Linked DNA regions of Stegostoma tigrinum. The protein of the gene in region 2 binds, or shares a complex with, the protein of the main gene of each other region. Links are inferred from orthologs where the notes say so. Each region holds a gene or a part of one and is shown on either strand. Other genes may lie near its edges.

Evidence for each region. Proteins that work in one complex are often made in the same cells at the same time.
Region 1: the proteins of fibronectin-like (region 2) and collagen alpha-1(I) chain-like are in contact, whole or in part, in a crystal structure (PDB 3GXE), measured with the Homo sapiens proteins. The link is inferred for Stegostoma tigrinum from reciprocal best matches to the Homo sapiens genes FN1 and COL1A1. Residues at the interface, in NP_997647.2 of Homo sapiens: Asp516, Gln517, Lys533, His535, Glu537, His539, Leu541, Gly549, Arg550, Gly551, Arg552, Trp553, Lys554, Cys555, Pro557, Gln560, Phe569; in NP_000079.2 of Homo sapiens: Leu261, Pro262, Gly263, Met264, Lys265, Gly266, His267, Arg268.

The regions. Positions count from the first base shown.
Region 1 is NC_081384.1:21,097,049-21,107,979, forward strand, and holds the start of collagen alpha-1(I) chain-like, read left to right. Parts: upstream 1-5,449; 5' UTR 5,450-5,589; coding exon 5,590-5,671; intron 5,672-7,339; coding exon 7,340-7,534; intron 7,535-8,281; coding exon 8,282-8,298; intron 8,299-8,398; coding exon 8,399-8,422; intron 8,423-8,545; coding exon 8,546-8,590; intron 8,591-9,038; coding exon 9,039-9,140; intron 9,141-9,251; coding exon 9,252-9,323; intron 9,324-9,710; coding exon 9,711-9,755; intron 9,756-9,970; coding exon 9,971-10,024; intron 10,025-10,339; coding exon 10,340-10,393; intron 10,394-10,726; coding exon 10,727-10,780; intron 10,781-10,931. UniProt on the Homo sapiens protein: Type I collagen is a member of group I collagen (fibrillar forming collagen).
Region 2 is NC_081360.1:11,862,598-11,873,189, forward strand, and holds the start of fibronectin-like, read right to left. Parts: upstream 4,901-10,592; 5' UTR 4,676-4,900; coding exon 4,561-4,675; intron 1,449-4,560; coding exon 1,320-1,448; intron 480-1,319; coding exon 342-479; intron 1-341. UniProt on the Homo sapiens protein: Fibronectins bind cell surfaces and various compounds including collagen, fibrin, heparin, DNA, and actin. Fibronectins are involved in cell adhesion, cell motility, opsonization, wound healing, and maintenance of cell shape.

The DNA of each region.
Region 1 (10,931 bases), on a different chromosome or scaffold from region 2:
GCTGCAATGTGCAGTTGATGGACAAGCTCAGCAATGATTTTATTCAACAGCAGAGGTTTGATAGTTCACACAGTTAATTGTATGTCACTTGTATTTAATTATGTGCAAAGGGAGAGCATTCCATGAGGGTTTGTTGGATTGCATATAAGGAGATATTGATAAAATAATCAGTCATGTGGTTGCGTTAGGCGTTATGTGCTTCTAGTGTAATACTCAGTGAATAAAAAAAAAGAGTAAAAACTGGCTTCCATATCATCCTTCCACAAGGGGTTGCAGAAATACAACACCCATAAAATATTCCTGCTCATACTGCTTATGTTCTTGAATTGAGTTGAGGTACAGATTTGCCACAACATAACTGAATGGCAGAGAAGTGCTGAAGGCTTGGATGGTCTATTGTGTTCTAATGCTATCCATCAATTTCCTACATCTAATGAGAAGGTAACTAGTCTGGTGAGGTGGTCTTGTAACACAGTAGTAGTATCCCTGCTTCCGAATCAAAGGCCTTGGATTCAAGTCTCAGTCCAGGATTTGAAGATCAAGAAAAGTGCACTCACAACACAACCAAAAAGGATACATTCCGCATCCACAAACAGCAGGCAGGAAAAGCTGGAGAAATTCCTTGTCAGTCATACAATGGAAAGATACTGGAGTTGTTACCATCATTTTCTAGCAAACCAAAAATTTATGTTGCCATGTCAGCACTGGATTTAGGAACCTCCTCCCTGCCCTACGCCTGGTGAAAGTTCTAACATAATGGGTCAGACCTGCTCTTGGGCAGGGAACTCAGAAAGAAGTCTAGACTCAATTGGAAAATTATCATATTTTACTTCCTATTAGTCAAGACAGTGATTTGGCAACAAATCCAACTTGATAATGGTAATTGTACAGCACTAACTTTGTAATTTTAGTGGTCAAGGTTATACTCCACAGAATCAAAGAGTTATTTCGGAGCAGAAGGAGGCCATTCAGCCATCGTGTCTGCATCAATACTCTGTGCATTTTTTTTCTTTGTGCCATTCTCTTGCTTCTTATGTGTAGCCCGGAACATTGGATGATTATTTAAATGGAAAATGTTCTCTTGAATGCCTCAATTCAATCTGCCTCCACCACACTTCCGGTCGTGCATTCCATATGCTAACCACTCACTGTGTGAAAAGGTTTTTCCCACTTCACATTTGTTTTTCTTGCAAAACACTTTAAAACTGTATCCTCTGGTTTTTGATCCATTTAACAGTGGGAAGCAGTTTCTCCTTACCCATTCTCTCTATATCACTCACAATTTTGAAAGCTTCTATCAACTCTCCACTTAGTCTTCTCTCCAAGGAAAACAGTCCCCACTTCTCCAAGCTTTTCGCTTGGCATATCCATAGAATTATATTCATAAACCTCTTCTGCACTGTCTCCAATGCATTCATACCCTTCCTCTGCTGTGGAACACAGAAATGCACATAATACTCCAGCTGACCTCTCACCAGAGTCTCTTGTCAGTTCATCATAACCCTACTGACCAACTAGACCCCCTGCCCTTGGTTCTCTATGCCCCTATTCACAAAACCCACAACAGTATATGCTTAATCTGTACCTACCCTGCCACCTTCAATAACTGATGTACATATAAACCCAGATAATAAAATGTGAGGCTGGATGAACACAGCAGGCCAAGCAGCATCTCAGGAGCACAAAAGCTCATATACAAGAGCACATATAAACCCAGATCTTTATGCTCCTGTATAACATTTAGAACAGTACCCTTTTTTCTGCATTTTTTTTACCAGAGTGTATTACTTCACACTTCTCCACATTGAGCTTATCCTGATATCAATCCACCCACTCCTCCAATATTAGTGTTGTTTTGGAATTCTACAATGTCCTCCTCACAGTTTACGATTCTACCAAATTTTGTGTCGTCTGCAAATGTTGAAATTACCCCTGTACACAAGATCTAAATCCTTTGTATATCAGAAAAAGAGAAACTCCCAGCACTGACCCCTGGGGAACTCCACTACAAAACTTCTTCCAGCCTGAAAAGTACCCACAATTAGTCTTTCTCCCCTATCTCCCAGACAATGTTGCGTCCATTTTGCTACTGTTCCTTTTATTCCATAACCTATAAATGTAGTCACAAGGCTTTCGTGCGGCATGGTATCCAATGCCCTTTAAAAGTCCACGTGCACCACATTAATACTGCGCCTATTACCTCTTCAAAAATCTTCAGCTAGTTCGAATCAATTTTCCTTGAACGAGCGCATGATGACTCTTCCCAAATAACTCAGTTTTGTTCCACGTGTCTATTAATTTGATGCCGAATAATTGCTACTAGAAGTCTTTCTCCCCACCACCGAAGTTAACCTGACTGGTCTAAATCACTCCAAGATATTCTGTAATCAAGTTGCGCAGAAATGATATGGCATAGGTCTGGAGCACGTCTCAAGCTGGGCTTGCTTCGCTCAGAGCTGGGGGATTCTGCAGAATCGACTCCAAATGGCAAGGTGGTAGTTTGTAACAATTGTGCTGAGACATAAGAAGCAGTTTGGTGGCTCAGCTAAGATATGCATAAAGTATTTCAGCTGTCTTTTAAAGTCGAGAAATATAGCAAGTTGAAGTTTTACAGCAGCGTTTGGTGCAAATTTGCGTTTGAGTCATGCACGGTGAAGCGAGGGTCAGGGAAGGGGAAATGTAATGATGAGTGTGACCCATCTGCAAGAGACCTGCCCTCTTTCGCACCGCACCTACTTCTTCAAGAGCACCACGTAGACACTGCGAACGGCGACAGGGGTTGCTAGCACCGTTCGATGGGAAATGGTGTTTGCACCAAATAATTTAAAAAGCATCATTGATTTTAATTCTCCCAAAACAGCCCGGACTCAAGAACGATATAGTGAATTTAATCGGAATCCTTAACTATTTTCTTTGCCTACTATTACAGTGAATACCATAACGCCATAGAGCCTGACATTCCTGCCTTTCTTCTTTGGGATCCAAAAAAACATGTTAACTAATTCATCCCATCTGCAACTGGAATAGTGTTGATGTAAGCGAGTTTAACGCATCCCAGATGTGGAGCTGTCTACTCGGTATCAGAAAGAGAAATCACTGAGCAGTTCGGGAGAATCTTTTCAATGTTCATATTTGGGTTGTTTTGGGTCAGGAATATAACTTCAACAGGAAAAAAATATATACGTTTCTCATCTTTTTGTTCAGATTTGATCGACTGAGGCGAACTAGTGATTCCATCTGGTTTGTATAAGTGCACCGAGCCCTCCCCAACTGTATTGAATTAAACATTCACCTCCGACTTATATAAACTAAAAATTGACCCTCCACCCACACCACCTGTAGAACCTTCTCCCTCAGTGGTCTCAATATAGAAAATACTGCTCCTCCGAACAATTCTTCCATCGTTACGTAAGGGAAGCTGGTAGAGAAGTCTCCTGAGGTCGAGCTCAGGGGCTTCAGGCTAATCACTGTGCGGGGAACTGTCAGTTCAGGCAAAGACAGAGAAAGGGGACCACTTCTAAACCCAGGATACAGCGATCCGTTGCGTTTTATGCCACTCGCCAAACGCAATTGAAGCACAAGCCCAGGTGGATGCAAGTCTCAAACGTGTTAATGTGCGCAATAAATCAAAGTGGAAGGTGAACACAGCAGTTGTGATGCTTTTAGTGTGACAACACAATTATTCGCAGGTATTATTACATTCAAAGTAGCACACCTTCTAAATACTGGGAAATCTCCTATCGCCCCACCCAACACTGTCTTGGAGTGCACCGTTCGTGGTAGGAAACGTGCAGCCCACAAGGAATTTTGCTCAACTGCTTCTTGATGATCTTTTCAGCAGCGCTACATGGTTACCACATACACCGCGGGCTTTGCAAAAGCGTTTTCAGACGTGTCACCAATTCACCCAACTATCACAGAGTGAGCTAAACGAATATATTAATACATCGCCCGTGACTTGAAACCCCTGCTTTGGTTCTGTCAAATCCTCCACGTTATGAGAAAAGGATTTCGTAACTGGGGGAAAATTTAGTGTGTTCGCTCTGGGAGTTCCCTTTAGCTGTTGGTTTGTTCTGGAACGAATTGTCACTTTATGTCGTTATTTTTTAAACCTCTAAAAATAAGAAAGTTGAACTGTTATCATTTTATGTGACTTACTGAAACATTGCTGCTTTTCATAAAAATTACAGTACACTACAGGTTTCGATCAAGCGTCACATCCCAAATTATTAAATCCTGGGAGCAGGATGATTCGGGGGCACGTTCATTTCGATGTCGTTTCCTTTGGGAAAGAAGCAACCACATACCCGTCTCTCTGCCACATCTCAACTTTCCAACTCTCCTCCCCAGCCCCCACACCAGGTTATCCTTACGAAAATAAGAGTGCTGAGGCATGAAAAAAAAATCGACATCCTCACAGGTGTTGTTTATAAAGTAACAATCAAATAGTTGCAAACAAAACAAAAACACAGAGCAGCCTAATTCGTTGTCATGCAATGCTAGCAAGGTGCAAATGTTTTAGCTGAAACCAATCGAGTTCCGCTCGGGGAATCATGCCACTGTTAAACCCCTCAGGTTTATGACCTTTCGGTTTTTATATTTCAATTCTAATGCTGCTGATTGAAAATTGCTATTTCAACAGCAAGTCCATGATTACAGAGTAATCTCTTTGTTAGATTCACACTAGGCGACGGGTGATTCCATAAGGGGAAATAAAATGCAGAAAAGTGATCACAACATTGACAATTTGACTTATTTCTGCGTTTAAATGTGTCTCATCTAAAATCCGGGAAACATTTGATTTGGATCTTTTCAAGTCTAGTTTCTTGGAGGTTTCCTCACCAATTACTCCCCAACTTTCGTGTTTTTCTGAAAAAAAACTGATGAGTTGGCGTATCAATAAAAGTGATTACGTGTATGTTGGTTAGGAAGAGCTAAGCCGTTCCTTCAGTTGAAAGTTTTCCAGCCCTTCTTTGACCCAGTCATGCTTCAACGTGTCTCTCTGCTCTGTAACAGCCTCTGAAACGAAGCCAATAAAAAAAAAAGTGCCTTTGAAAAATGATGTGCCCGTGTCTGAAGAAGAATAGGTTTTAGGAAAAGAATTATGGTTCATCAAATTAAATGGGTCTTGCGTCGGGGTTAGGGCGGGGGGGGGGGGGTGATGTATAGAGAAGGAGGCAGGGCATGGAGTGCAAGTATGAGTCCAACAGCCACATGGCGGTTCACACCAGCCATCCAGAATTCCCTCTTCCCACCCCGATTGGAGGAAGGCATCTACGTACATGTTAGTGGATGGTCAGAGACAATTGGATCCTGCCGCAGGCGGGGACTTTGCCGGTTTCCAACTGGAGGAGGAGATTTGTTTGGTGGCGGGGGGGGGTCACTGGTGGAGATGGGCGGCAACTATTCACACCTCCAAAGCCTGGCACACATAAAAGGGCAGGCGATCTGCAAACGGAACAGTAGGAAGTTTCTGCTGGGGCTCGGTGCTGAAGCTTGGAATTACACACCAGAACCATTGCATGTCCGGACGTTAAAGAAAGTTTCCCTTTTTTTACCCCAAAGAGTCTACATGTCTAATATTTAGACATGTTCAGCTTTGTGGATACGCGGACTTTGCTGTTGCTGGCAGCAACGTTAGTGGTGGGAAGATGTCAAGCGGACGATGACAGTAAGTGTTCCTTTCTCGTTTTCCTTCTGTTTCGTCCTGAAGAACTGTTTCGAAAAATCTCCCGTCTATCGCCCGCTTAAGAGGCGAACGCTACGATCGACCTAACGGGAGAGGGATGCACAACTTTGAATTCTGTTAAAACTTTGCAAAGAAAGCTCTAATGTGAAATTGACTTGCAGGATTGTCGATTGAAAAAATGTCAGGCAACATTTTCCTGATGTTAGCTTCAGACGGTAATGTTTGGAGCATTCCGAAAGCTTGTTGCGTTTTGTTCGAACTATGCAAACGATTTGAAATAGATTACCGCAACGATTTTCCTTTTATGGAATGGTTTTTCGATCTCTAAGGGATGGGTGCATTAAAAGAAACTACATTTGTGTATTACGTGGCTGTCAGACTGTCTAACTTCTCCGCCAGCCCACAAGAATTGCAGTATCCACCCCGTTTAAGAAAGGGAAACAGAACACAGACAATTGTTGGGACCATATTAGTTGGAGTGAAGGAGTCTCGACCAGACAATTGGTTGAAAGCAGCTGCCTTTGATAGTGGGTGTGTCACTTTGGAGCAGATCCTTTGTGGCGAATTTCGAATAAATTGGGTCCAAATGGAAAATAGTGTCAAACAGATGGAAAACAGAGCACAACGCGAATTAAAATACACTTAAAATATTATTAAATTGAATAAAATGCATAAAGCGGTAAAATCTGGGTTTGAGTTTTAGTGATTTTTGCCTAGTTCTGTTTAGTTTGCAGCCACAAATCGATTTTCAGACATAAGGTAGCTTTTAAAGAAAATCGAAATTGTTCCAATTCCGAAAATTAGCGTATTTAAAGTTCAAGCCAAGAAACGAAGTTGTTTGAGGGGAAAAAAATGTCCGGTGTTCGGAATAGAAGCAATCCAGATGTTTAGACATTGTTTTCAAAGCCAAGCAAGTTCTGAGTAGCAGTCCAGTGCTGTGGCTTAACAGCGCCATCTCTAGGCAACATGTTAAAATGGTAGCTATTGTAAACTGGCTTTTTTTCCCCAAGACAACCAGGATCTTCTAATTTAAAACAGACAAAACTGGCGGAAAAAGCAACTCAGCAGGGCTGGCAGCGTTTGTGGAGAGAGAAAGAGTTTAACGTTTTGAGTACGATATGACTCTTCGTCAGAAATCCACTTTAACTCTGATTTACTCCACCACCACATTAACAATTCTGCACGGGACGTGTTTTAAATGAAACTGCGTACCATTGACTAAAAAATGATTTGAGTCGGATGCACTTTTGTGCGGTTTACTGCAGTGCTAAATCTGAGGTGGAGCTTGAGCGCCATCTGTTGAATTTCTCGCCTGATAATCTTGGCTTGCGAGCTTGTGTCACTAAAGCAACGCCTTTAAACTAAAGACCAAAATACTTGGTGCATTGTTAAAACTTAAATGTCGAAAATTCTTGTATTCCATACAGGTCACAATGTCAAAAGTGCATGTTCTTTTTAAATTGAGGAGTAGTGTTATCAGTTCTATCTTAGGCTGTTTGGGATACAAAATAAATAGCTCAACATGAATCTGCATACAGTTTCTCGTCCCTTTGAAGTTTGTCACTTTTTCCCCCAAAGGCGTTCTTGCCTTTCTGCCCATTAGAGGGCGTTTGGTATCACCGCGGTTGATATATCCCGTTTGATTCTCAGATAGCGGACCTAGCTGCTACAAGGATGGAGAAACGTTCGAAAACAAGGATATCTGGAAACCCGAACCCTGCCTGATTTGCGTCTGCGACAATGGCCGGGTCCTTTGTGACGAAATAATCTGCGAGGAAACCATCGACTGCCCCAATGCCGAAGTGCGCGACGGAGAATGCTGCCCCGTCTGCCCCGAAAAAGATCGTGAGTGTTTGCTGTGGTCCCTAGTCAATTGTTCGAAGGCGCCTTTAAGTGCTCTCCGCCAGCCACCTGACAACTTATATCATCGCCTTACATTCCCAAACTCAATTATCAACAGCAATGTAGTTTAGGAAAAGGTAGCAATAGTTGCTGCGCGGCAGCAACTGGAAGTGGAATGAAGTATCCACTCGAATGGACAATTCTAAACATTGCTTTTTAAACCTAGTGACAAAATACACATTACGTTTGAAAGCTTTAGGTGAATTCACTTCAAAACCAGTAATGATTACATTATACTAGTCCGTCAGCATTTATGATTTGCAGGAAATGTTTTGCCATTTCATGGTGAAAGTGACAGTGAACGTTAAGGGGTTATTTAACACAAAAGTACCACAGCCACAATAAACAAACCGCTTTTAATTTTAATTTAATTGAGTGTCTTTGATTTTTTTAAAAACCCAGGTTATTGTCTTTTTCTGAATCATTTGATCTGATAGAGGTTTTCTTTAAACCAATTTAAGCATTATGGGTTTTAGCTATGACATCATTGAATGATTCAATGAACATGTCACAGGCCCAAGTAGAGCAAAACCGGAAGGAGTCTTAGAAGTAATTTCCTTTTGCACTCTCCTCCCTAAAAAACATATGTGCAGTAAATAAACTATAAGCTGTTTATGAGCAATAATTACAATGCTTTCCGTTGTTTTTGAAAATGTGTTTATAAATTAAGCTCTTTTTATTTTGTTACAGCAGAAGGTGGAGAAACAGTAAGTACATCATATTCACTTAGACAATACAACAATGAAATATTTACATGGTTACTTGTAACACATATCCACACACTGACTTATTAATTTTTCTTTCCAGTATCCCTCTGGCCCTGGTATTCAGGTAAATAGAAATGCTTTTTATTTCCAGGTTAACAAAAGATATTTTAAACACACAGAAGTTGAACATTTATTAACTTTACCTTTATTTGCAATTTTAATTGTAATACAAATACAATTTTTTCAGGGACCTCAAGGCCCCAAGGGAGAACCTGGCCCTAAGGGTGATAGAGTAAGTTGATATTTTTAAATCATCTTATTGAAACAAATGTGATAATATTGTTTCCAAACTATTAAGTCCTTGATTGTAACATAGCCTTTTTTGAAAGAAGTTAAAAAAAGTCCCAAAGGCTATCTGAAAGAAAAAAGAGCAGATGTTCATAGACACCATATGTAAAGTCTAATAAGGTTTAAAACATAGAGGGCTTGAAGTTTAATGTATTACAATCATCTACCATTAATTGCTAGTATTATCCTTTTGGGGTTGCATTAAAATGAACACTCATCCTTTGCCAACGATGGAGAGGCTTCAGGGACAGGAAATGATGGTAAACAGGAAGTGACAACTGAAGAGATGACAATAGCTAAGAGTGTTGCTGAGGCTACAATTGCAACTAAAGTGAAATGATATACATAATATTTTCTTTTGTAACAATGAACATAATATTTTGCATCTTTAGGGACTTCCAGGTTTACCCGGAAGAGATGGAATCCCAGGACCTCCAGGTCGTGATGGCCCCCCTGGTCCACCTGGTCAACCTGGAACATCTGGCCTTGGCGGAGTAAGTGACCTTCAACACTTAGCTGATGAAATACATAGTGCAATGGTTCTAAATTATTTTCAATATATTTCACAGGCTGCAGACATCTAAAATCACGTTGCTTTCTTCCAGAACTTCCTCCCTCAGATGGCTGTTGGCTTCAGTGAGAAAACATCTGGCGGTATTCCAATGCCTGGACCTATGGTATGAGCCCATCTTTCCCTTTTCCTCATAATATATATAAGGTGCAACAATGGCCCTGCATAGGTTATAAAATTTTATATCAGTTTGACATTTCTGAATTAAGTAAGTTATGTGTAATCACCTGAGAATGAAGAGACGTAGAATTAACTTTGAACTAGCGTACTGAAAGTGTTTAACATTGAATGATTTTGAGTATTAAAACTATTAATTTAAGATCAAGGAAGAGTAGAGTCAATTGCTTGAGGACAGAGATTAGTAGATGCATGTGTTTTTAACTTTTGTTTTGACACATTGTTATAATTTTATTCCAATTTAAGGTTAAAAAAACAAGTTACAAAGATCCATAAAACTGTGTACCGTTTTATTAACATGTTGTTTATGTTCTAGGGTCCAATGGGTCCCAGAGGACCTCCCGGCCCACCTGGTGCACCTGTAAGTACACAATTGCTTTTATTTTCCAAAAATGTCAGTTGATTTTTGACTATTGAAGTAAAGGTTAAAAGTTAATGGAGTTAATACTTACCTAAAATGTTAATCAATTTTCAATTAAAAAGGAGAGCAGAACTTAAACTGGAAAGCAATATAGATTCTGAGTACGCTGAAAGACCATAATTATTAAAGTGTGGTTTACGTTGTTTAATCATTAGGGTCCTCAAGGATTCCAGGGACACCAAGGAGAACCTGGTGAACCAGGTGCACCTGTAAGTACTCAGTAAACTAAAAGCCACTCTCTTCTTTAAGAGCACCATATTGATTCACGTTAAATTTGTTTTAGAAACATATAATTTCTACTTTATAAAATAATTCCCCTCAAGATGGGATTCTTTTTACCACTTGATGCTTTGTGAAGATAGTTTACAAATGTACAGATGCTGGGAATGAAAGCCTTATGACACCAGCTGACAGTTTCACTAACAGATTGCAAGCCTAGCCATTTAGAGCAGTGAACTGCAAGACACCAGTTCCTTGTGTTTACCATGTCTTAATATTTTCACTTTACAATTTCAACTCTTCAGGGTCCAATGGGTCCACGTGGTCCTCCTGGCGTTCCTGGAAAGAATGGTGATGATGTAAGTAGCACCAAACGGTCTATAAATGTACTTAGTAAAAAAAAATAAAACAGTTAGGTACTTGCTTTCTGCTTTTGGACATAGTTACATGATACATTCAGCTTTAATTTCACAAATCTACTTTTGACTATAGAATCCCTTCACCTCTGCTAAACTGATTTTATGGCGGAGCTATGTGTGAAAATTAATAGCATAAATTTTAAAACCCAGTCCTTGAAATGTACTCGCTAGAATTATATTCATAAATGTCCATATTAGCTAGGTACATGTTTGATCCTTATTCAAGATAATTGAAAGTTTACAAATGGCTGACCTTTCTCTTTTCCTCCATAGGGTGAAAATGGCAAGCCTGGTCGCCCTGGTGATCGTGGTGCCCCTGGTCCTCAGGTAAAGCATTTTCCATCTAACCCTTCAGGATATTACAACATGCCTGCAATCTATTATGTCAGCTTTTCTCTATCACATGCTTAGTTACTGATTATAGCACAAGAAGAAGTAGGCACTCTGAAATTATTAACGTTCAAACATATTGCCTTGG
Region 2 (10,592 bases):
AACAAACACTCAGATGAAAACTTCCATAATTGGGCAAGGACTTGTGTCCGATCCTCTGAAAGATCAGAGTTGAACAGCGCCCGTCATGCCTTAGAGAGGGCAGGCTGCAGCACATTTCCCCTTTCTGGAACAGATATCCCTTCACCATGCTGGTAACAAGACAGAAAACAAAGCAAAAACTCCACAGGGCACTGGAATAGAGATCAGAGCACCAAAAGCACTGAGATGAATAACTATTTAAGAGGAGTTTTGATTAGCAGGAGCTCAGCATAGGTGCACTCTCTGGCCACTCAGCCCCATTCGCTTGATTGCCCACAATGCCCTGCACCCCTCCTCCTTACTTGCAATGGTACAGCTGATCCTCCCTCTGCCAGCTCCAATACAAGTACAGTCCCAGATCATGCCATCCTTTGGGCGTTCCCAGGTGTCACCGACACGTTGCCTGGTCCCAGTGTACTGGTCGTAGCACATCTCCTCGACTGCACAAATGAATCGAAACACATGTCAAGGCTCAGGAGGGAGATTCTTTCAGTTTTGAAATGACTGTCTTATCCGCTGAGCCCCAGCCCACCTCTGACTGCACTCCTGAGGGGTATAACGCCAGTCTCAACTGGTGAGCCTGGCCTCTGAGTGCCACCTACGGAAGTCCTGTTTGACATCCAGCAATCAGGCTGCGCTGAAGGGAGATACACAAGACCTGGCCTCTTCGTGTGCGAGGGCACAGAATGCAGAAATCAAAAATGAAAGCGCTTGCACCTTTCACAATTCCAGAAGGTTTCGCCGTGCTTGACAGCCAATGAGGTGCAGTCACTACTGTATTTTAGGAGGTGGAGCACCGTTGGTGATGTGATGGATTATCACCTAACATCGATAAGAGTACAGTAATGCTAAAACACACTGAGACCCTTCACTTCTATTGCAATGCACTTGACTGCAATATGATTAGACAGCACTGGTGCTGATATACGTGGAACAACACATTGAGGCTGCTGTAAAGCGCTGGGTTAATATGCTGATATAGTAACATACTGGGTCACTTTGCTAGTGCTGTAATACAGTGGGTTAATATGCTGATGCTGTAACACACTGGGTTAATATGCTGACACTGTCACATACTGGGTTAATATATCAATGCTGTAACACACTGGGTTAGTTCGCCGATACCGAAATACACATTAGTTAACATGCTGATAGCCTCGTTATAAAACACCTACTTTTCGATCTCTGGATAGGGACTGTGTACAGTTTGGAGATGGTGCTAGATGCAAAGTTTAATTATTAAGAATGCAGCGCCACTGGCTCCTTAACTGTTAACTTACCATCCGGCTTCGATTCACAATTCCAACCTCGCCCTGCCCCATAACAGGTACAGATCATCACACGGCCCATGTATGTACGCTCCCATTGCTGGTTAACATGGTAAACCTTTCCATTGTCTAAACAATAATCTGAACAGGAGAGACAGAGAAAGCACACACACATCAATTAAATAGTTCCCAAAAGACTAGATGCATTGCAAGACTAATATCACTCAGCATCTGTGGATGGAAAGATGTCTCAAATCTGAACCCTCAACTCATGGAACACTAAGTCATCTTGAGAGGGAGAGAGGGGGAGAGAAAGGGAGGGGGGAGGGGGAGGGGGAGAGAGAGAGAGAGAGCAAGAGTTAATCATAGGTATTTCAGAGGCTCGTCATCAATTCTGGGGAAGGGTCATTAACTCTTAAATAACAGGCTGCATTTTCCCAACAAAGAAATACTCAGGACCCAGGGGCAATTACATTAGTCACAAGCCCATTCACTGGCATGACGCAGCTTAATTTTACAGGATGTGGCATCGCCCTGTTTGTCTCCACAAAGTAAACCCAGCAGATGCACCTCTTGGCCCTCGGATCTCCTGCTGAGCACTTACTCACCTTCTGAGAGCAAGAAAGGCGCCGAGAAAGTGCAGGCAGTAAAGCGACCCCAAGAAAGTGGCCCAGTATAACTCAGATAACAAGGTGTAGAGCTGGATGAACACAGCAGGCCATGCAGCAGGAAAACTGACGTGAAGGGTCTCGACCCAAAACACCAGCCTTCCTGTTCCTCTCATGCAAAATTTTATGAAGAAGGATCTCGACCCAAAACATCAGCTTTCCTACTCCTCTGATGCTGCTTGGCCTGCTGGCGTTCATCCAGCTCTACACCTTGCTATCTCAGATTCTCCAGCATTGGCAGTTCCTACTATCCCAGTAAAACTCAACTGCTTGCCAAATGCAGCCACTCACAAGCTGAATTATGATTTTCACTGGCTTGAGATTACGAGGCTCAATGGCTGTGGGGAGTTCACCCCGAACTCTTGTTTCTCTCTCCATGGGAGCCATTCCTTTCCTATCATCTGCTTTTACTTCAGATTTTCAGTATCTTCGACTGCTGTGCTTTTGCATAAGCTCATCAGCTCTGATAAATAAGCATCTTCCAGTTTCCATTAGGATTACATCGTTCAGTCCCACGTCAAACAGGACCTTGACATGCAGCTTCAACTCGCACTCTTTCCTTATAAAGGATGCAACCATCAAAGAACCAGACTGTAAAATCAGTTTGATTTTAAGGAAAATGTGTTAGAGTTAAATCATATTATTTCCCCTCACAAATACCGACAGACCTGATGAGCACGTAGGCATGAGAGAGAATGCAAAAGATTCACAAAAATGGTTTCAAAGAAAAAGAGTCTTTCAGTTACATGGAGACACTGAGATCAAACATCTTGGGAGTCTTGGAGCAGGCTAAGGGAAGATCTGTTCGAGGTGTTCAAAATCCCAAGGGATATGGACCGAGCAGACAGGGACTGTTTGAAAGATCGAGAATCAGAGGACACGGATTTTAGATGGATGGCAAAAGGAGCAACGGCGGCGCAAGGGAAATTTCCTTCACACAGCAAGTGAATAGGATCTGGAATGCTCCCCCTGAGAATGCACTGGGGACAGATTCAATTGTGGTTTTCAAGTGGGTCATTAGATCATTATCACAGAATCCCCTACTGTGTGGAGACTGGCCATTTGGCCCAATAAGTCCACACCAATCCTCAAAAGAGCACCGCACCCAGATCCATCCCATTTCTGTAAACCCGAATTTCCCATGGCTAATCTGCCTAGCCTGTCCAGCCCTGGACAATGTCCCAAGGCCATTCCCCCTGACTCGGACATCTTTGGACTGTGGGAGGAAGCCACAGCACCCTGATGAAACCTACACAGACACAGAGAAAATGTGTAAACTCTACACAGTCACATAAGGGTGAGAACTGAACCCAACACACTGGTTTTGTGAGGCAGCAGCGCCAACCACTGAGCCACCTCATTATCTGAAGGCAGGTGAGAGAATACAGGGTAAAGGGGGCAAGAGTGGCATATTTAAATGACATTCTCATGAAGTGTCAATCTAGACACGAAGCATCAAATGGTCTCTTTCTATGCCTTAAATATTCAACAATTCCAAGGAACCCCTTCCAGGTTTCTAGCCAAGCGGTTGTACCTCGTTCGGAATTACTTAAGTTAAACTACAACTTCAAAATAGCTGGTAAAGCTCTTTCTAACTAACCCACAACAAAAATCCCACCAGACCATCCACCCATCTGAATGGGTCTGTAGGTGAATTCTTCGGTACATTCTCAGCTTACACATTAAACTCTAATGTAAAAGCAGCTCGGGATGGATGCTGGTTTTAACCTGTGGAGTCTCCTCAAGCAAAAAGTGATATAAACTACAATCACCCCAATTTAGGAAACATATAGGAGTGGTTTCTAAACTCCCTAATCCTGTTCCCCTCCCCCACCCCGGAACTCCCCTCCTTCAGTGAGTGCAGTGGGACAGGATGTGATGGCCTCTGTTGCTGAACAGCCACTAAATAGTCAGCATTCTGACCCCTTGGATGTTTGCATCAAAAGGTTCACACAATGTATTTTTTTAAAATCACATCTTCCCCAGATTAGCGGGGTGAAGATTACAAAGAAACCATTTGTCTTTCTTCCTCACACCCCAAATTTTGGAAAGATGCAGCATTTTAAAAAAACACAACACGCCTCAGATGCAGGAGAAAGCATAGTGGAACCACCCAGTAGTTAGGAGGCATCTGTGGAGAGAGGGAGAAAGGTCGTTTCATGCCCTTGTTCTTAAAATCTGCAATGGAAACTTCAAAATGTGGTTGGCGTAAAGAGAGAAAGGGCAGAAAGGGGTCAGAATGTATTATATGCCCTCATGTACACACAGTATTGAACCACAGGAGACATTCCGCCCCTACTGCCTGTACTAGCTCTTTCGAAGGCTATTTTGATAAACCACACGGCCAAACTATCGACGAGATCACGAAATTTGCATTCGCTCCATCGGCAAAACTCGATGCACCCCTGGTTTAAGTCTCGGAATCAGCATCTGGACATCATTTAGTCATTAAAGGACAGAACCAGAAGCAACGTGCCGGCAGAACGTTCTAAAGCACAGGTCTAGAAAGAGTTTGAACACATTCTGTAAGGGGAAAAATGCATGTTAAAAGTTTCAACAAGATTCTCTTCCTCTGGAAGACTTACTCTGATTCTGGGTATTTGCATCGTACGGACTTTGCCTTCTCTTTTTGCCTGCTTGACCGCTGGCTGCACTCAGACAAACGGCCAGGAACAAGACCCCGAGCATGGGGAGGTGCATCTTCCAGGCACCAGCTCCCCCTCGCCCTTTCACAGCTCGCCGAAGACAGCCAGATGCCTGACAATTACCCCACCGTGTTGAAAAGGAGAGGGGGTGGAGGGACTGGTCCAGAAAGAATTTGGCGTGGGGGTGGGGGGGGGAGGGAAGGGACAAGGACAGAAGAAACCAGACCAAAGGGAGACAGAACCTCTCAGCACACCTTTGGCCAGTGAGTGAGCGAGCGAGTGCCTGCTTCTGCAGCCCTCTTTATAACGTTGTACAGCCCCCGGACAGGATGGGTGGACCTTTGGAAGTTTGTGGAAGGGGAGGGGTCTCACTTAAGCTACATCAATAATATTTACAAGTCTGCCTCTGACATCACTGAGGACTTTGGGTGAAAAACAGCCAGTTCAGACACTTATCAGACACCAGGCATCTCTCTTAAAGGGGCATTGCATCCCTGAGGCAGCCTGCATGAGACAACAGACATCCCTCATAAGGCACGGTAGTCTTTCTGTAAAGTGAGTCACCGCTCGTCTTTAAAAACGGGAAATTGAGACTGAAATACTCTGTACATTTGCAACAAAGGAAAACACATGATTAAACTGAGCTCAGCTTCTGTCTTGCGAGCTGTTTACTTGTGAGTGATTTTACTGAACTGTAACTTGACAAATCACTGCTGGGAAGGATTGGAAGTCTTTTAATTTGTTTATTTTGGAAAGAAAGGTACACCTAATCTAGGCTCCTTTTACCAGCTGGAGGGGCAGCAAATCTGAGGCGAAGTGAGAGTCTGAATGTCAATGGGTGATCGAGGCGGCGAATTAAGTCCTCAACAAGACGAAGGGATGTTTGAGTTAATACCTAAACATCTCTAAAGTCATCCGCCCTCCCCCCATCCCCCGACACACACACACACACACACACACACAAATCCTCCACGAGATCTGCAAACATTGTCTTCACTGAATCCAAAAACGAGGTACAGATTTGTCCAAATATGACTTGCTAAGCTGATTTTTAAAAAAAACCCTTGTGTGAATTTTACATGAACTTGGTCTTCTGTAAAAAAAGGTGGAGGTGGGGATTCGGAGACAAAGGAGGTTGGGGGGAGGGGGTATACAGACATAAAATGAGACAGACTTGGTATTCAATCATAACCGAATGACAACCTTCCCGCCGCGTATGTGCAATAAACACTCGCTCCTAGGAAGTGTGAGCCAGACATTGCATCTTTGAACTCGTTCTCCGAGCGTTTGCAGTGTTTATTTTATTTAAAACGTGGGCGTTAGAAACGTCGCTTTTGCAGTTGCTTTCGATGCGCACAACGCGGGAGAATTTTTTTTGTTTTTTTTCGAAAACAAAGGTGAAATACCAGGGACGATGTAGGAAAAAGCAAACAAAAAATTGCGAAGCAGAACGCAGAAGGTCAGGCAGCATCTGTGGAGAGATACAGTCAATGTATAAGATTGATGACCTGACCCTTAAAGGTCATCCCAATTTGAAACATGTCGGTTTCCCTTGTAGCCTTCCCTATTTCCTGCATTCTTTTTTCTTGCCGTTCCAAGACTTGTCTTCTCACAATGCTCCCTCTTACACTGGGTCTCTCACCCGCTCTAAACTCTGCACTGACCCAGGCGCAACCTGGTAGAAAATGAAATGTTACAAATTTCCACCTCGAAAGTGTTCCATTGTTTGTAAAGTACTCGCATCCTCCCGAAAGGTGCAAATTTACAGCAGCATGTTTGGGGTATCTGTAATGAAACCGGAAACTGCCGGGGTACTCACTAGGTCTGTGCAGGGAGGAACAAAGAGTTAAATCGATTTCAGTGAGATTTCCTACGAACTGAATGTGCAAAGTGTACCTTTTTCCTTAAAGACAAAAATCAGTGTGTTACCAATGATAGGACGATGCCACAACAGTCACAAAAGGACTGAGCACGCTGGAGAATCTGAAACAAAACCTTGCTGGAGAAACTCAGCAGGTTTGGCCAGCATCTGTGGAAGAGTTCGGGGTTGCTCCTAATGTGAAGGCTGAGAGAGACTCGGGGGAAATAATTTTTTGAAAAAAAAGTTGAGACGGCAAGAGCTGCTAAGAAAAAAAGTAAACCAAACCCTTAAAATCAAACGCCTCTTTAAGTGAGGCTCTGTCGAATTTCATTATTATTCTACGTTTGAATTTGGGAAGGGACGTCCAAAAACAATGTAAGGTTCCTGCACTTCAAATTAAGTAAAATGCCTCGGGGAGCAGAGCTTCTGATTTTGTGTTAAGTGTATGATTCATGTTTGAAGGACGAAGCGTCAGTGCTTCAGTATGTCGGCCAGGAACTCCAGATAAGAAGGGGGACGCCGCCTTGTTTAACCATTAAGCCGGGGACAAGACGGATTGCCGAAGTATATTGAGTGGTGATTCCCTGTCGGGCTTGGACATATTCAGTGAGGCTGCCCTCCGGCCCACAAGACACCATTCTCTGCAAAACTAACTATCCACAGTCACCACCCCAACCCCGGAACAAAAGGGGATCCGTGCTTATCAATGTGCATTTCGTGACAAGAAACTCATCCCGTCTCTCTTAACACCCATTTTAACATAACTTAGCAAAGGCATGCTTTAATCGGTCGCTGAGTCACTCAGAGAGGGCAACCGGACCCTTGGAAGCCCAGGTTAACCCTGTTTTAATCTCGCACTCTCCTCAGTAATATGACCATAACTCAGCACCATCGGTATTTCGCTCAAAGACAGACTACCAAACCACACTGCTACATCGCCAAAAAGTGCAGAGGCCGGCACCTAGTGCTTAGACACCATTCAACCGCAGCTGTTCTTTTAACATTCTATAAAATCTCCCTCTCACTGGAGCATAGGGGGTTGAGAGGCGACCTTATGAACGTTTATAAAGCAATGAGGGACACAGGGAGAGTCAATGGTAGTTGTGTTTTCCCTAGGATGGGGGATTTCAGGATTAGGGGCCACATTTTTAAGGTGACAGGAGAGAGATTTAAAAAAGACTTTTGAGGGGCAATTTTTTTACACAGAGGGTGGTTCGCGTGTGGAATGAACTTCCTGAGGAAGTGGTGGATGTGGGCACGGTTACAATGTTTAAAAGGCATTTGGATTAGAACGTGAATAGGAAAGGTTTGGAGGAAAGTGGGCCAGAGCAGACAGGTGGGACTAGTTTAGTTTGGGATTGTGGTCAGCGTGGATTTGTTGGGCCGAAGGGTCTGTTTCCGTGCTGTATGACTCAATGACGCCACGATTCTAAGTCTTCTGTCTCTCTTCCTAAATGTGATGTGTGCTCTACTTTGGCACAGTAATGGTGTCCCTTCCTCAGGACTAGGGGACCCAGGTTCAGATCCCAAGGAAAGATCACTCAACCTAAATGTTAACTCTGATTTCCCTCTGCAGGTGCGGCCAGACCTCAGCTTTTCCAGCAATTTCTGTTTTTGTTTCAGATCCTGCCTGTTCCAGAGGTGTATCGTAACAACTGCTTCAAAATACATCAGTGTACCCCAAAAATGCTGTTCACCTCAGCCAGTCCCTATGGCCATGGTTCCCATGTTCTCTGAATGAATCACTGTCTAATTAATGACTCATATTTGTGAGCCCTATATTTAAACTTACCACAAAGGACAATGTCTTTCCCATATCATTCCTATTCACAGACAGGCCACCCCTCCTCTACAGGAGACCAGCTCCAGCCTCGAAACCTTCCCTGAGGCATATGGCTTGTTGGTTAGAATCAGGCTGTTTGGCCCATCGAGTCCACACCAACCCTCTGGAGTGCGTGCCTCCCAGACCCAGCCCTACCACTGTAACCCTGCATTTCCCATTACTAATCCGCCTTGCCTGCACATCCCTGGACACTATGGGGCAATTTAGCATGGCCAATCCACCTAACCTGCAGATCTTTGTGACTGCGGGAGGAAAACGGAGCACCCAAAGGAAACTCGCGCAGAAACGGGGAGAATGTGCAAACGCCACACAGACAGTTGCCCGAGGCTGGGACCAAACCCGGGTCCCTGGCGCTGTGAGGCAGCAATGCTAACCACTGAACCAACGTGCCACCCCACAGCAGTTCTAGAAGCACTTGTTTGCATTTTCTCTAGTGCCTCAAGATCCTCCTTATAACATGGGGATGGTGGATGACACTAATAGCATTCCAAAAAATGCTAAATAATGAAGGAACTGGGGAAGTGGGTGGAGATTGTGGATTAAATGACTATCACTGGAGGAAAAATGTACTGGGGAATCTTATGGGCCCAAAGGCAATAAGTCTCTTGATTCTGATGGGATACGTGCTGGATGTCAAAGAAGGTAACTGCAGAGACGGTGAGATAACAAGGTGTGGAGCTGGATGAACACAGCAAGCCAAGCAGCATCAGAGGAGCAGGAAAGCTGATGTTTCGGGTCTAGACCCGTCTTCAGAAGTCTACAGAGTTTGTCCTTTTCACAGGGAGTAATGTTTGAAAAATTGTTAGATTGTGGAAAAATACTGAAAGACTGGAAAACAGCCAACGTAACACCCTTACTCAAAAAGGTAGGAGACAAATAAGCAGGCAATTAGAGGGCTGTTCTGAGGAAGGGTCACTCGTCCCGAAGCGTTAACTGTGATTCCTCTTCACAGATGCTGCCAGATCTGCTGAGCTTTTCCAGCAATTTCAGTTTTTGTTTCTGATTTACAACTTCCACAGTTATTTTGGTTTCTGTCAGCGATAGGCCATTTAGCTTAACGTTTCTGGTCTGAGGAAAAAATGTATTAGAACCCATCATAAAGAATGCAAAGGCACCGCATTTAGAAATGCACAGCAGAGTTAGCGTGACTTCATGAAGGGGAAGTCACGCCTGCAAAATCATCAGAATCTGTTACTCAAAGCAGGATGGATAAAGGAAAGCAGTGGATGTAAAATATTTAGATTTCCAAAAGTTGTTCGGTAAAGTACTACATTTAAGTTAACTTCATGAGGTAAGGAACCGTGGAGTTGGAGGCAGTATATTGGCATGGATAGAGGATCCGCTAACTAATAGAAGACAGAGTTGCAATAAAGAGGTCATTTTTAGGGGGGTAACCCATAATTGGTGGAGTGCCCCAGGGATCGGTGCTGGGGCCACAATTATTTACATATAATGTTAATGATGGAAGGGATTGTACTGATGCCAGGTTTGCGGATGAGACAAAAATGAGTGACAAGGAAAGTGGGAAATGACACAAAGAGTCTACAGAGGAACATGGACAGATTAAGTGAGGCGCCAAATACTTGGCAGATGGTATATAATGTTGGAAAATGTGAGGTTATGCACTTTGGCAGGAAAATGGAGGAGTTGAATGTTGTTTAAATGGAAATATACTGCAAAATCTGTAGCACAGAGGCATTTGTGAATCCTTGTGCACAAATCATGAAAAACTAAGTTGATCGGGTAATATGCAGGGCAAATGAAATGTTGGCATTTACTTCAAAGGGAATGGAGTATAAAAAAGTAGGGGGGTTTTGCGAAAACTGTACAAAGCCTTAGTTAGATCATCTCTGGAGTACTAATGAACAGGCCCCTTATCGGAGGAAAGATATTACTGGCATTGGAGGCAGTCCAGAGAAGATTCACTAGGCTGATACCAGACTGTCTTATGAAGGAGAGGCTCAATAGATTGGGCCTGTGATCATCGGGAGAATGAGAGGTGACATGCAAGATTCTTAGGGGACTTGACAGATGGATGAGGAGAGGTTGTTTCCTCTTGTGGAAGAACCTAGGACCAGAAGACACTGCCCCAGAGTGAGGGGCCATCCATTTAAAACAGGGATTTCTTCTCTCGGATAGTAGTGATTCTATGAAAGTTTTTACCTCAGAGATTAGGTAATTTAAGTCTGCCTTGGACAGAATTTTGATTAGCAAGGGAATCGAGAGTTATAAGGAAAAGGCAGGAAATAGGACTTGAGGATTACCAGA